Macaca mulatta: one gene and its partners. The protein of the gene in region 2 interacts with the protein of the main gene of each other region in a pairwise test. Links are inferred from orthologs where the notes say so. Each region holds a gene or a part of one and is shown on either strand. Other genes may lie near its edges. The genes, in order: ELOF1, C6H5orf22 and WBP11.

Region 1 (3,737 bases), on a different chromosome or scaffold from region 2:
TATTTAAGGGCTTGTGATTGACAGCTGTCCCCACCCCAGCCCTTGCTTCCTCTACAAAAGAAACTGAACACGAAACTGGGCTTCCTTGTTAGCATGGGGAGGGTGGCGGCTCCCTGTCAGGGCCCAGCCCAGGGACCTGGGGAACGGTGGCTTTGAATCCCAGGCCACGGGCACTAGAAGGTGGAGAAGGAGGGCGGGAAGTCCAGTTGAGATGGGCACGGTGCTGGTGAGGAGGCTGGAGAGGTCCAGTTCCAGCCTCTACTGGGCTTCCCTTGTTCAGGATATCAGGAAACAGCCCCCCACTTCTGCCGGGGGGGAGCCAGAGCCCCAAAGCTGGGAGGCCAGGGGCTGAAGAAGGGAACACAGCAAAGGCTTTTGGAGCCAAGAGAGGTCAGTTCAGGCCCCTCAGGCCCAGGAACCCGCCATCACTGCGTATCTATGAGCACACACTCACGGCCACCCCAGTGACACGTGCAGCCACACACACACCCACATCCACTCCACACTGGCACACACACCCACTCACACCCACGCCCACTCTACACACACACACAGAGGGCTGTGACAGCCCAGGACCCACACCCTGGACCCCTGGAATGTCTCTGGACCAGAACCGAACAGCTGGGTCCACAGTAGGCGGGGCTGCTCAGGGGGTGGGTCCTCTGTGTTGCTACTGATTGGCTGCCTCGCAGGCGTCTATCCAATCACTGTACACATCCACGGGTTCTGACAGATCTGAGCCGCTTAGGTCAAGGGTGATCATTGGCATTGGAACCCTGCCCTGCACCTTCTCACCCCACATAAATCAGTAGGTGGCACCTGTTCCTCTGGACGGCCTTGGCCCTGCACCAGGGCACACAGTGGGCCAGAGGAGCAGGGTCCGGACTCCAGCCCCCTCCCCATCCTCTGGAAAAAGCCCAGGTTTCTAAGGATACACGTTATGGGCGTCTGGAATTCCTCTAGGCACACAGTACAAGAGATGACTCCGGTGTTGCGGGCACGGTCCCTGAAACAGACCAAGAGAAGGGACTGGTGAGCAATGTGCCCGGGGCCTGTGGGTGATGACGCCTTCACCAAGGGAGGCAAGGGGCAGGATGGAGAACAGCGGGGAGGAGGTGGTGGGGAGGATGGATCCCTTGCCCCGTTCCCCACTCACATTTTCACATCACAGGATTTCTCGTGGTTGCAGAAGGGGCAGGTGAACTGGGTCTCGAGGGTGCCCGTCATCTTCTTCTTGGGAGGCGGCTTTCGTTTGGACTTTCTGCGCCCCATGTCTGCAGGTGGATGAGCCTGTGGGGAGTGGCAGATGTCAGTGGTTTGAGGAAACCACGCAGCCCCCCGCTCAATGCTCTAGAAAGCAGGCCGGAAAGAGGGTCTGGGACTTGCACTATGGTCTGGGGGCCTCTGCCCTTGAGCGATGAGGCCCTCAGTCCTGATACAGGAGGAAAATCCCCTGTCCCACTCTGGATGGAAGGGGTGAGCGGAGGTTCCAACCCCGTCTCTCTCACTTACTGCATGACCTGGGCAGGTTACTTAAGCTCTCTGTGCCACCGTTTCCTCATCCATAAAACAGAGACAAGGCCAGACATGGTGGCTCACACCTGTAATTCCAGACAGCACTTCGGGAAGCTAAGGTGAGAGGATCACTTGATGCCAGGAGCTGGATACCAGCCTGGGCAACAGAGTGAGGCATCATCTCTTAAAAAAAAAAAAAAAAAAAAAATTAAAAATTAGCCAGGCATGGTGGTGTAAGCCTGTAGTCCCAGCTACTTGGGAGGCTGAGAAGGGAGGATCACTTGGGCCCAGGAGTTTCAGGTTTCAATGAGTTATGATCCAGGCACTGCACTCCAGCCTAGGCAATAGGATGAAACCCTGCATCCAAAAAAAAAAAAAAAAAAAAAGGAAAAAAGGTCGGGTGTGGTGACTTACGCTTGTAATCCCAGCACTTTGGGAGGCTGAGGCGGGTGGATCACGAGGTCAGGAGTTCGAGACTAGCCTGACCACCATGGTGAAACCCCATCTATACTAAAAATACAAAAATTAGCTGGGCGTAGTGGCAGGCGTCTATAACCCCAGCTACTCAGGAGGCTGAGGCAGGAGAATCGCTTGAGCCCGAGAGGCGGAGATTGCAGTAAGCCGAGATCACACCACTGCACTCCAGCCTGGGCGACAGCGCGAGACTCCGTCTCAAAAAAAAAAAAAAAAAAAAAAAAAATTGAAATAAGGTTGCTATCGCACGAGACCCCGTCTCAAAAAAAAAAAAAAAAAAAAAAAGATTGAAATAAGGTTGCTATCGCACAAGACTCCGTCTCAAAAAAAAAAAAAAAAAAAAAAAAAAAGATTGAAATAAGGTTGCTATCGCAGAGGAGACTTGTGAGGCTGACACCAGGAATGGTAAGTACTTAGCACAGAGCTGGCCCATCATCGCTGGCGCCAATACAAGGAAGCCACTGTTCCTGGGGAAGGTGGCCCAAGAGACTCCAAGACAAGCCAGCTGTTCAGGGCCGGGTGGAGCCTAAGAGCCCAGGAGCTGGTGATTTTATACTGGCTGCTCCTCTTGTCAAGGGACATGTAAGTACCATCCACGAAGAGTGACACTCAGGGCATCTGATGGCCTCCATCCAGATGACAGACTACAGGGCAGAGAAGTGGGAACAAGCACCTCCGAGTAGAGGAACACTATGTGAAGGCTCAGGGGCAGCTGTCTGTCCCCTGGCAGGTGGAGGAGAGAGGAGGGACAGGTGGGAGGGTTCTGGGTGTTTGGATGGATCCTGGGAGCTACAAGGAGTGAAAGGGTAAAGTCACCCTGGGCTTTTGAGGGACTGCGGTGTGAGTCACAATCTGGATGAAGACAAAGGCACAGCCAGGACAGGGTTGTTGGGGTAGAGATGGCAGAGGGCGAGAGAGACAGAGGAGACGTGGCAGCGGAGCGAGTGAGTATGACGAGAGGAGGAAAGTCCAGGATGACTCCCAGGTTTGTGGTGGGGACACAGTGGCTAGGGGGAGAAGATGGCATCATTCTCTGATGTGTAACATAGAGGAAGGACAGGGTTTTGGAGAAAATGATGGGGTTGGGTGGCAGAGGGACATCTAGGAACAGATGTCCAGGAGGCAGGTGGGTGGGGAAACAGCAGCAGTTACCACCGAGCCCAACTCCCCTGCTAGGCACGGTGCTCAGGGCACTGTGCTTGCCATCCCTGAGCCTCCTATGGCGCCTCCTCCAACACACACACACGACTGCTGGTTCTAGCATCGTTCCTCTGTGGCAGGGGAGGTCAGCAGTCTGCCAGGATCTTCCAGAATAAACAGTGGAGTTTCATTCATTATTTGCTGATCACTTCCTATGTAACACCCCCAACTCTTTGTTTGTTTGTTTGTTTGTTTTTGAGATGGAGTCTTGCGCAGGCTGGAGTGCAGTGGCGTGATCTTGACTCACTGCAACCTCTGCCTGCCTGGTTCAGACGATTCTCCTGCCTCAGCCTCCCGAGTAGCTGGGACTACAGGCGTGTGCACTACCACGTGTGGCTGATTTTTTGTATTTTTAGTAGAGACGGGGTTTCACCGTGTTAGCCAGGATGGCCTAGATTTCCTGACCTCGTGATCCGCCCGCCTCGGCCTCCCAAAGTGCTGGGATTACAGGTGTGAGCCACCACACCTGGCCAACACCCCCAGCTCTTAACTGTGATGCTTCCAATTCACTGAGTAAATAGAAGCAATCCAAAGACAGCTCCTAGGAC
Region 2 (3,650 bases):
AATTTTTGTATTTTTTGTAGAGACAAAAAATAGGGTTTTGCCATGTTGCCCAGGCTGGTCTCAAACTCCTGGGCTCAAGTGATCTACCTGCCCTGACCTCCCAAAGTGCTGGGATTACAAGTGTGAGCCACTGTTCCTGGCCTCAAAATATTTTCAAACCTTAAGTATCTTGTAATAATCTTAAATACCATTTTTTAAAAAATGTAAGTCTTGGCTGAGCATGGTGGCTCACGCCTGTAATCCCAGCACTTTGGGAGGCCGAGGCAGGTGGATCACGAGGTCAGGAGATCGAGACCACGGTGAAACCCCGTCTCTACTAAAAATACAAAAAATTAGCTGGGTGTGGTGGCGGGCACCTGTAGTCCCAGCTACTCAGGAGGCTGAGGCAGGAGAATGGCGTGAACCCAGAAGGCGGAGCTTGCAGTGAGCCAAGATCACACCACTGCACTCCAGCCTGGGCGACAGACAGAGACTCCGTCTCCAAAAAAAAAAAAAAAAAATGTAGGTCTTGGAAGCATTTACTCAGGGTAACTTGAATGTATGCTCCTGGAAAAAAAAAAAAAAAGTTAAACAAAACAGTATAAGTCTTGGATTTGCTCAGGTTTCACCAAAATATTCTTTTGCTCATTATATGGTTTTGCTGTATCTCCACTCAAATCTCATCTTGAATTGTAACTCCCACAATTCCCATGTGTCATGGGAGAACCCAGTGGGAAGTGATTATGGCGGCAGATCTTTCCGGCACTGTTCTCATGACAGTGAATGAATATCAGGAGAACTGATGGGGTTTTTTTTTTGTTTGTTTTGTTTTCTTTGAGACGGAGTCTCACTATGTCGCCCAGGCTGGAGTGCAGTGGCACTATCTCGGCTCACTGCAAGCTCCGCCTCCCGGGTTCATGCCACTCTCCTGCCTCAGCCTCCAGAGTAGCTGGGACTACAGGTGCCTGCCACCACGCCTGGCTAATTTTTTAGTAGAGACGGGGTTTCGCCATGTTAGCCAGGATGGTCTCCATCTCCTGACCTCATGATCCGCCTGCCTCAGCCTCCCAAAGTGCTGGGATTATAGGCGTGAGCCACTGCGCCCAGCCAAGATCTGACGGTTTCATTTTTTTTGAGACAGAGTTTCATTCTTGTTGCCCAGGCTGGAGTGCAATGGCACAATCTTGGCTGACCACAACCTCCACCTCCTGGGTTCAAGCGATTATCTTGCCTCAGCCTCCCACGTAGCTGGGATTATAGGAATGCGCCACCACGCCTGGCTAATTCTGTATTTTTCATAGAGATGGGGTTTCTCCATGTTGGTCAGGCTAGTCTCGAACTCCTGACCTCAGGTGATCTACTCGCCTCGGCCTCCCAAAATGCTGGGATCACAGGTGTGAGCCACCGTGCCCGGTCAGAGATCTGATGGTTTTAAACCAGACGTCTCCCTGCAGAGAAGCTGTCTCTTCTTGTCTGCTGCCATGTGAGACGTGTCTTTCACCTTCTGCCATGATTGTGAGGCTGCACCAGCCACGTGGAACACTAAGTCCATTAAATCTCTTTCTTTTGTAAATTGCCCAGTCTTGGGTATGTCTTTATCAGCAGTGTGAAAATAGACTAATACAGTAAATTGGTACCAGTAGAGTGGGGCACTGTTGAAAAGGTACCTGAAAATGTGGAAGCAACTTTGGAACTGGCAGAGGTTGGAACAGTTTGGAGGGTTCAGAAGAAGGCAGGGAAATGTGGAACGGTTTGGAACTTCCTAGAGACTTGTTGAATGGCTTGGACCAAAATGCTGATAATGACACGGACAATGAAATCCAGACTGAGGTGGTCTCAGATGGAGATGAAGAACTTGCTAGGAACTGGAACAAAGGTGACTCTTGTTATATTTTAGCAGAGACTGGTGGCATTTTGCCCTCGCCCTAGAGATGTGTGGAACTTTGAACTTGAGAGATGATTTAGCATATCTGGTGGAAGAAATTTCTAAGCAGCAAAACATTCAAGAGGTGACTTGGGTGCTGTTAAAGGCATCCAGTTTTTTTATTTTTATTTTTTATTTTTGAAATGGAGTCTTGCTCTGTCACCCAAGCTGGAATGCAGTGGTACCATCTCGGCTCACTGCAGCCTTTGCCTCTCAGGTTCAAGCGATTCTTTGCCTTAGCCTCCTGAGTAGCTAGGATTACAGGTGTGTCCTGCCACACCCAGGTAAGTTTTGTATTTTCAGTAGAGAAGGGGTTTCGACACGTTGGTCAGGTTGGTCTTGAACTCCTGGCCTCAAATGATCCACCCGCCTTGGCCTCTCAAAATGCTGGGATTACAGGCGTGAACCACTGCACCTGGCCAAGGCATTCAGTTTTAAGAGGGAAACAGAGCATAAAAGTTTGGAAAATTTGCAGCCTGACAATGTGAATGAAAAGAAAATTCCATTTTTTGAGAAGAAATTCAAGCTGGCTGCAGAAATTTGCATAAGTAACGAGGAGCCAAATGTGAATCCCCAAGACAATAAAGAAAATGTATCCAGGGCATGTCAGAGACCTTTGCGGTAGCCCCTCCTGTCACAGGCCTGAAGGTTTAGGAGGAAAAAATTGTTTCATGTGCAGGGCTCAGGGTCCCAGTGATGTGTACAGCCTAGGACTTGGTGTCCTGTGTCTCAGCTGCTCCAGCCATGGCTAAAATGGACCAATATAGAGCTCGGGCTATGGCTTCAGATGGCCTTGGCAGCTTCCAGTTAGTGTTGAGCCTGCGAGTGCACAGAAGTCAAGAATTGAAGTTTGGGAACTTCTGCCCAGATTTCAGAAGATGTATGGAAATACCTGGATGCCTAGGCAGAAGTTTGCTGCAGGGGCTGGGCCCTCATGGAGAACCTCTGCTAGGGGCAGCGTGGAAGGGAAATGTGGGGTTGGATCCCCACCCAGAGTCCCTAGGGGCACCACCTAGTAGAGCTGTGAGAAGAGGGCCACTGTCTGTCCTCCAGACCCCAGAATGGTAGATCCACTGACAGTTTGTACCGTGTGCCTGGAAAAGCTGCAGACACTCAACACCAGCCCATGAAAGCTGCCAGGAGGGAGGTTGTACCCCGCAAAGCCATAGGGGCAGAGTTGCCCAAGACAATGCGAACCCACCTCTTGCATCAGAGTTACCTAGATGTGAGACATGGAGTCAAATATGATCTTTTTGGAGCTTTAAGATTTGACTGAAGATGGACTTCAGACTTGCATTGCCCCTTTGTTTGGGCCACTTCCTCCCATTTGGAACGGCTGTATTTACCCAATGCTTGTACATCCATTGTATCTCGGAAGTAACTAACTTGCTTTTGATTTTACAGGCTCATAGGTGGAAGGGACTTGGCTTGTCTCAGATGAGATGTTGGACTGTGGACTTCTGAGTTAATGCTGAAATGAGTTGAGACTTTGAGGGACTGTTGGGAAGGCATGACTGGTTTTGAAATGTGAGGACATGAGATTTGCGAGGGGCCAAGGGTAGAATGACATGGTTTGGCTGTATCCCCACCCAAATCTCATCTTGAATTGTAACGCCCACAATTCCCACATGTCGTGGGAGGAACCCGATGGGAGGTGATTGAATTGTGGGGGTGGGTCTTTCTTGTGCTGTTCTCATGATGGTCAATGAGTCTCATGAGATCTCATGGTTTTAAAAACCGGAGTCTC
Region 3 (3,750 bases), on a different chromosome or scaffold from region 2:
TGGGAAGTTACAGTATGCACTGTAAAACAGCAGCATCTTTGGCCTCTATCCACTACATGCCAAGAGCATCCCTCTAATTATGACAACCAAAAATGTCAAGACATTTTTGTTTAATGTTCCATAAAAAACAACTATGAATCTGAAAGAAAAAGATAACATAAAATGCGAAACAAGGGCTCGCAAAACTAATTTGCTCAAAATTTCAAATACAAAAAGAAAACTTTCAGCCAATTCTACTTTGCAAGTCAATCAAATCTGAAAACTAAAATATGGGTACTAATTTATTTGCATGTTTAACGTCTTAATGTTCCCATCCAAACACTGAATATACAATTTATTCCTCCTATCACTGCTGGTCTTGTAATTAAGCCACAGAGAAATAAATTCCCTAATATGTGCAATTTTTAACACTCTCCTACTTCATCATTCCACACTAATGGACACTTACGGGCTTGGTCTGTGGGGTTCATAAATTTTCCACTCTTGGTGGATGATGTAGATCTCCGTCCCATGTTGACAATTTGTATGGTTTACTTGTTCATTAAAAAAAGAAAAACCTGTGAAGGTGAAGACAAAGAAATAGCTTATATCTCCTAAATTTATTTCTTCCTTTTTCTAGTCCCTACCAATCTCTGAAAAAAAAATTCCTTTAATTAGAAATTCTGTGAGACTGTTCTTTCCTTAGTTTTGACTTTAATGTCCAAGAAAGATGGCATTAAGTTTCTTTACCATGAAAATTTAGATCTCCATCATTCTTTGGAAATGTGATGAGTGTGAAGACCACTTTGAATATCCTCAAGTCATTACTTTATCTTTTTTCTTATGGATCACAGCACTGACTTTGTCAACTGATAAAAAAACAACTAGAAAATGCTTTAACGATATGGCACAAACCATGAACATCAGAATTCATTAGTCCTTCTTCTATAACCTCCCTTTATTAACACGTAATTGTAAAAGAAGAATACGAACGGAATGGGGGTAATGGATCTAGGCTCAAAACAAACACCTCACCCTTGCCTCGCTCCATGGTTTTTCTTGGCATGTATGCTGTACATTCTCAACACTTCTAAGACACTAAAAACTCATTCATTTAAGCATATTTAATTCAGATATAATGCTTGACTCTCAAGAGTTCAAAACACAACTAAAAATGCAAGTATTTGAAATTAGTGCTACACTGAGAGCTCCCCAAAATTTAAATATTAAGACACATATTTTTCTAATACCTGACTCCCAATATATATTTCTTAAGGTAACTAAAGGGAATACTTATTCTTGTTTGAGGAAAAAATATTTTGTAAGCTAAAACTTTTATTAACACAATACCCTATTACATGACTTCTTCCTCTTATTCCAAAAGAATGGGGCTTAATTTTTTGAAGCATTCTTTCCAGTAACAAAGGTGGACAAATTTGTTTCCTTTTGCAAGTAGACACTTTTTAAAGGGAAGAAAGGGAAGATTTTCAGACCAGTTTGTTACAGTTAATGTGTCTTTCGCCAAGTGTCCAATTGCCCCGAAAGCCAGATGTTTCAGAAAGCTAGATGTTTCATAGCTGTTCTGGTGGCAATTACTTCAAGACGGTGGTGTCAAAGGCTCTGATTTTTAGCTTCCTCATCTAAAAAATGGGGACATCAATTACTTTATAACAAAGCTCTGATGATACAACGGGATTACAAATAAAATATCTTGTGATGTTTGACTCACTATTTAACTATAATCTTTATAATGGATCCATATTCCTGCCCTAGCTACCATACACCCTGTCAAGTGGTTTCCTTCTCAGAAAAACTGGGGGGTGGAGGTGTGGGTGGGAGAGCAGCAGGGAGTAGGAGGTAGGGAAGGAAGAAAACATGCAAAATTCGTACAAATACAAGCTCTCCCATCTTTGATTGCCTGCGTTTTTCGTGCTTTCCTTTCTCAAGCGGGCTCATGTTCTGAATCTCCTCCCCCACAAATGAAACACAACGGATACGAATTACAGAGAATTTTACGGAAGATACGGGAGCTTAAGTCTGCAAAGATTAGTTTTTTGTCTACAAGCGGGGGCGACTGGAAAAATCAAGCCAAATAACCGTTGGGGAACTGTAAATAGCCAAAAAACCTTCAATGGGATAGGGTCCAGGTCCACCAAAGGAGGCAACACCAGCAACTGCCGAAACCATAGTGACGGTTGACCGACCATGACTCGAGGTACAAGACGTCAAACCTAAGGCTACCAATCAACGTGCATAGGAAGCGGCCCCAACCGCCCCGGGCGATGCCAACCGCGTAACCACTGGTCGCCGCGCCACCCCAGGCCCTGGAATACCCCAGTCCGCAACCGGGAGACCCCAGCCGGGGAGAGGAGGAGCGGGGCAAAGGGACTGGGTGTCCCCCAAGCCACTGCGCGGGCCGTGGAAGGGACGAAAGAGATGAGGAAAAGAAGTAGAGCAACTCCATACACTCACACTTCTGCTGTGCTCCCAGGACTACGAGAAGCGGGCAGGGGGCGATTCCCGGCCTCTTTCACTTCGTAAGGGCCTTCAACTCGGCCTCTCGGTCTACCCCTCAGCTACCGCCATCTTGAAACCTCGCGCCCCTCCGCAATCCTTACGTCATTTCCCATTCCTCTGTCCCGCTGTCTCTTAGCGCAGCTCGGCCCTAGAACCATAGAGAATACTCAAGAATTCCAGGACCAGAGTCTCTTCCGGTCCCATACAATACTCCATTGGTTGGTTGTCGGCTAAGAGCCCGCCTCATTGCGCTCATCTAGTACAATAGGAATTGAAAGAAGATAGCTGCTATCTGATTGGCTGACGGTCCTGTCTCTCAAGTTGGAGGCGTTCTGACCTAGTTGCTGGGGGCGTAATGCGTTGACCTGTCCGAGAACGGTACTTTCTGCAGATGCAGAAGCGTTCCGCGTTTTGTGTCTCTTGGAATTACGTTAGTTTTTGGATTTTTATGTTTCTTATGACGCAAGCAGGTGCGATCCTTTAGGGGTGTCTCCGTTTGTAAACGAATACCCAGATAACATTTGCTACTGAGTTTAATCCGCTTTGTAAGCATCAGGTTATCCCATGTGGGCGTCTGGTACGTGTGGAAATTTAATAGACGCGCAGAACAGAACATTTGTAGACCACCTGAACAAATAAATCAGCACCCGTATTAGAGTCGCAAATTGCTTATACGGGCGGTGATTTATTATTTATTTATTAGTAGTGTTCTGAAGAAGAAATACGGGGATACATATGCAGTCGGTTTTAAGTTTATGAGTGGCAAGGTTGATATATATTGGCCGTATTCCCTACTGGTCTATTCACCAGCCAAAAGTCCTCTATGATGTCACTCTACGTACAGGATTATTCACTTAACTCTAGCCTTTGCCCTTTCCTTACCTACTATCCCCTCTTTCCCTGAGTCAGCCCCCACTTATTTCCCTTAAAGGTAAGTTTAAACATTTAAAAAACTATCTTAGAGGGTACGCTTGGTTATTTCTAATCTTAACCAGACTATCCCTTGTAGGAAGTCTATTCTTACCACCAGTTATAAATATTTCAAAATATTGTTGGAGATACATATTAATTTTTGGCAGAATCTTTAAACTGCCCTTGAAGGTAATATGATCGGTCCTATACCTAAACTTACCTTTGTGTTAGGAAATTCTTGATTTGATTTTAGATTGAATTTCAGTGTCGGAAAGCAATGACAAGATCTGGTAGGTTAAAGCTGATAAACCAGGTAAAACATAAAAAAGAAAATAATCTTGA

Evidence for each region.
Region 1: the proteins of C6H5orf22 (region 2) and ELOF1 interact in binary tests that used the Homo sapiens proteins (3 or more experiments, as listed by UniProt). The two-hybrid records come from large-scale screens. The link is inferred for Macaca mulatta from reciprocal best matches to the Homo sapiens genes C5orf22 and ELOF1.
Region 3: the proteins of C6H5orf22 (region 2) and WBP11 interact in binary tests that used the Homo sapiens proteins (3 or more experiments, as listed by UniProt). The two-hybrid records come from large-scale screens. The link is inferred for Macaca mulatta from reciprocal best matches to the Homo sapiens genes C5orf22 and WBP11.

The regions. Positions count from the first base shown.
Region 1 is NC_133424.1:12,293,217-12,296,953, forward strand, and holds the end of ELOF1 (transcription elongation factor 1 homolog), read right to left. Parts: intron 1,699-3,737; exon of another isoform or gene 1,513-1,698; intron 1,291-1,512; exon of another isoform or gene 1,290-1,290; 5' UTR 1,273-1,289; coding exon 1,157-1,272; intron 1,007-1,156; coding exon 936-1,006; intron 736-935; coding exon 671-735; 3' UTR 509-670; downstream 1-508. UniProt on the Homo sapiens protein: Factor involved in transcription-coupled nucleotide excision repair (TC-NER), a mechanism that rapidly removes RNA polymerase II-blocking lesions from the transcribed strand of active genes.
Region 2 is NC_133411.1:32,904,789-32,908,438, reverse strand, and holds part of C6H5orf22 (UPF0489 protein C5orf22 homolog), read right to left. Parts: intron 1,845-3,650; coding exon 1,647-1,844; intron 1-1,646.
Region 3 is NC_133416.1:17,239,770-17,243,519, forward strand, and holds the start of WBP11 (WW domain-binding protein 11), read right to left. Parts: upstream 2,561-3,750; 5' UTR 2,452-2,560; intron 558-2,451; 5' UTR 513-557; coding exon 449-512; intron 1-448. UniProt on the Homo sapiens protein: Activates pre-mRNA splicing. May inhibit PP1 phosphatase activity.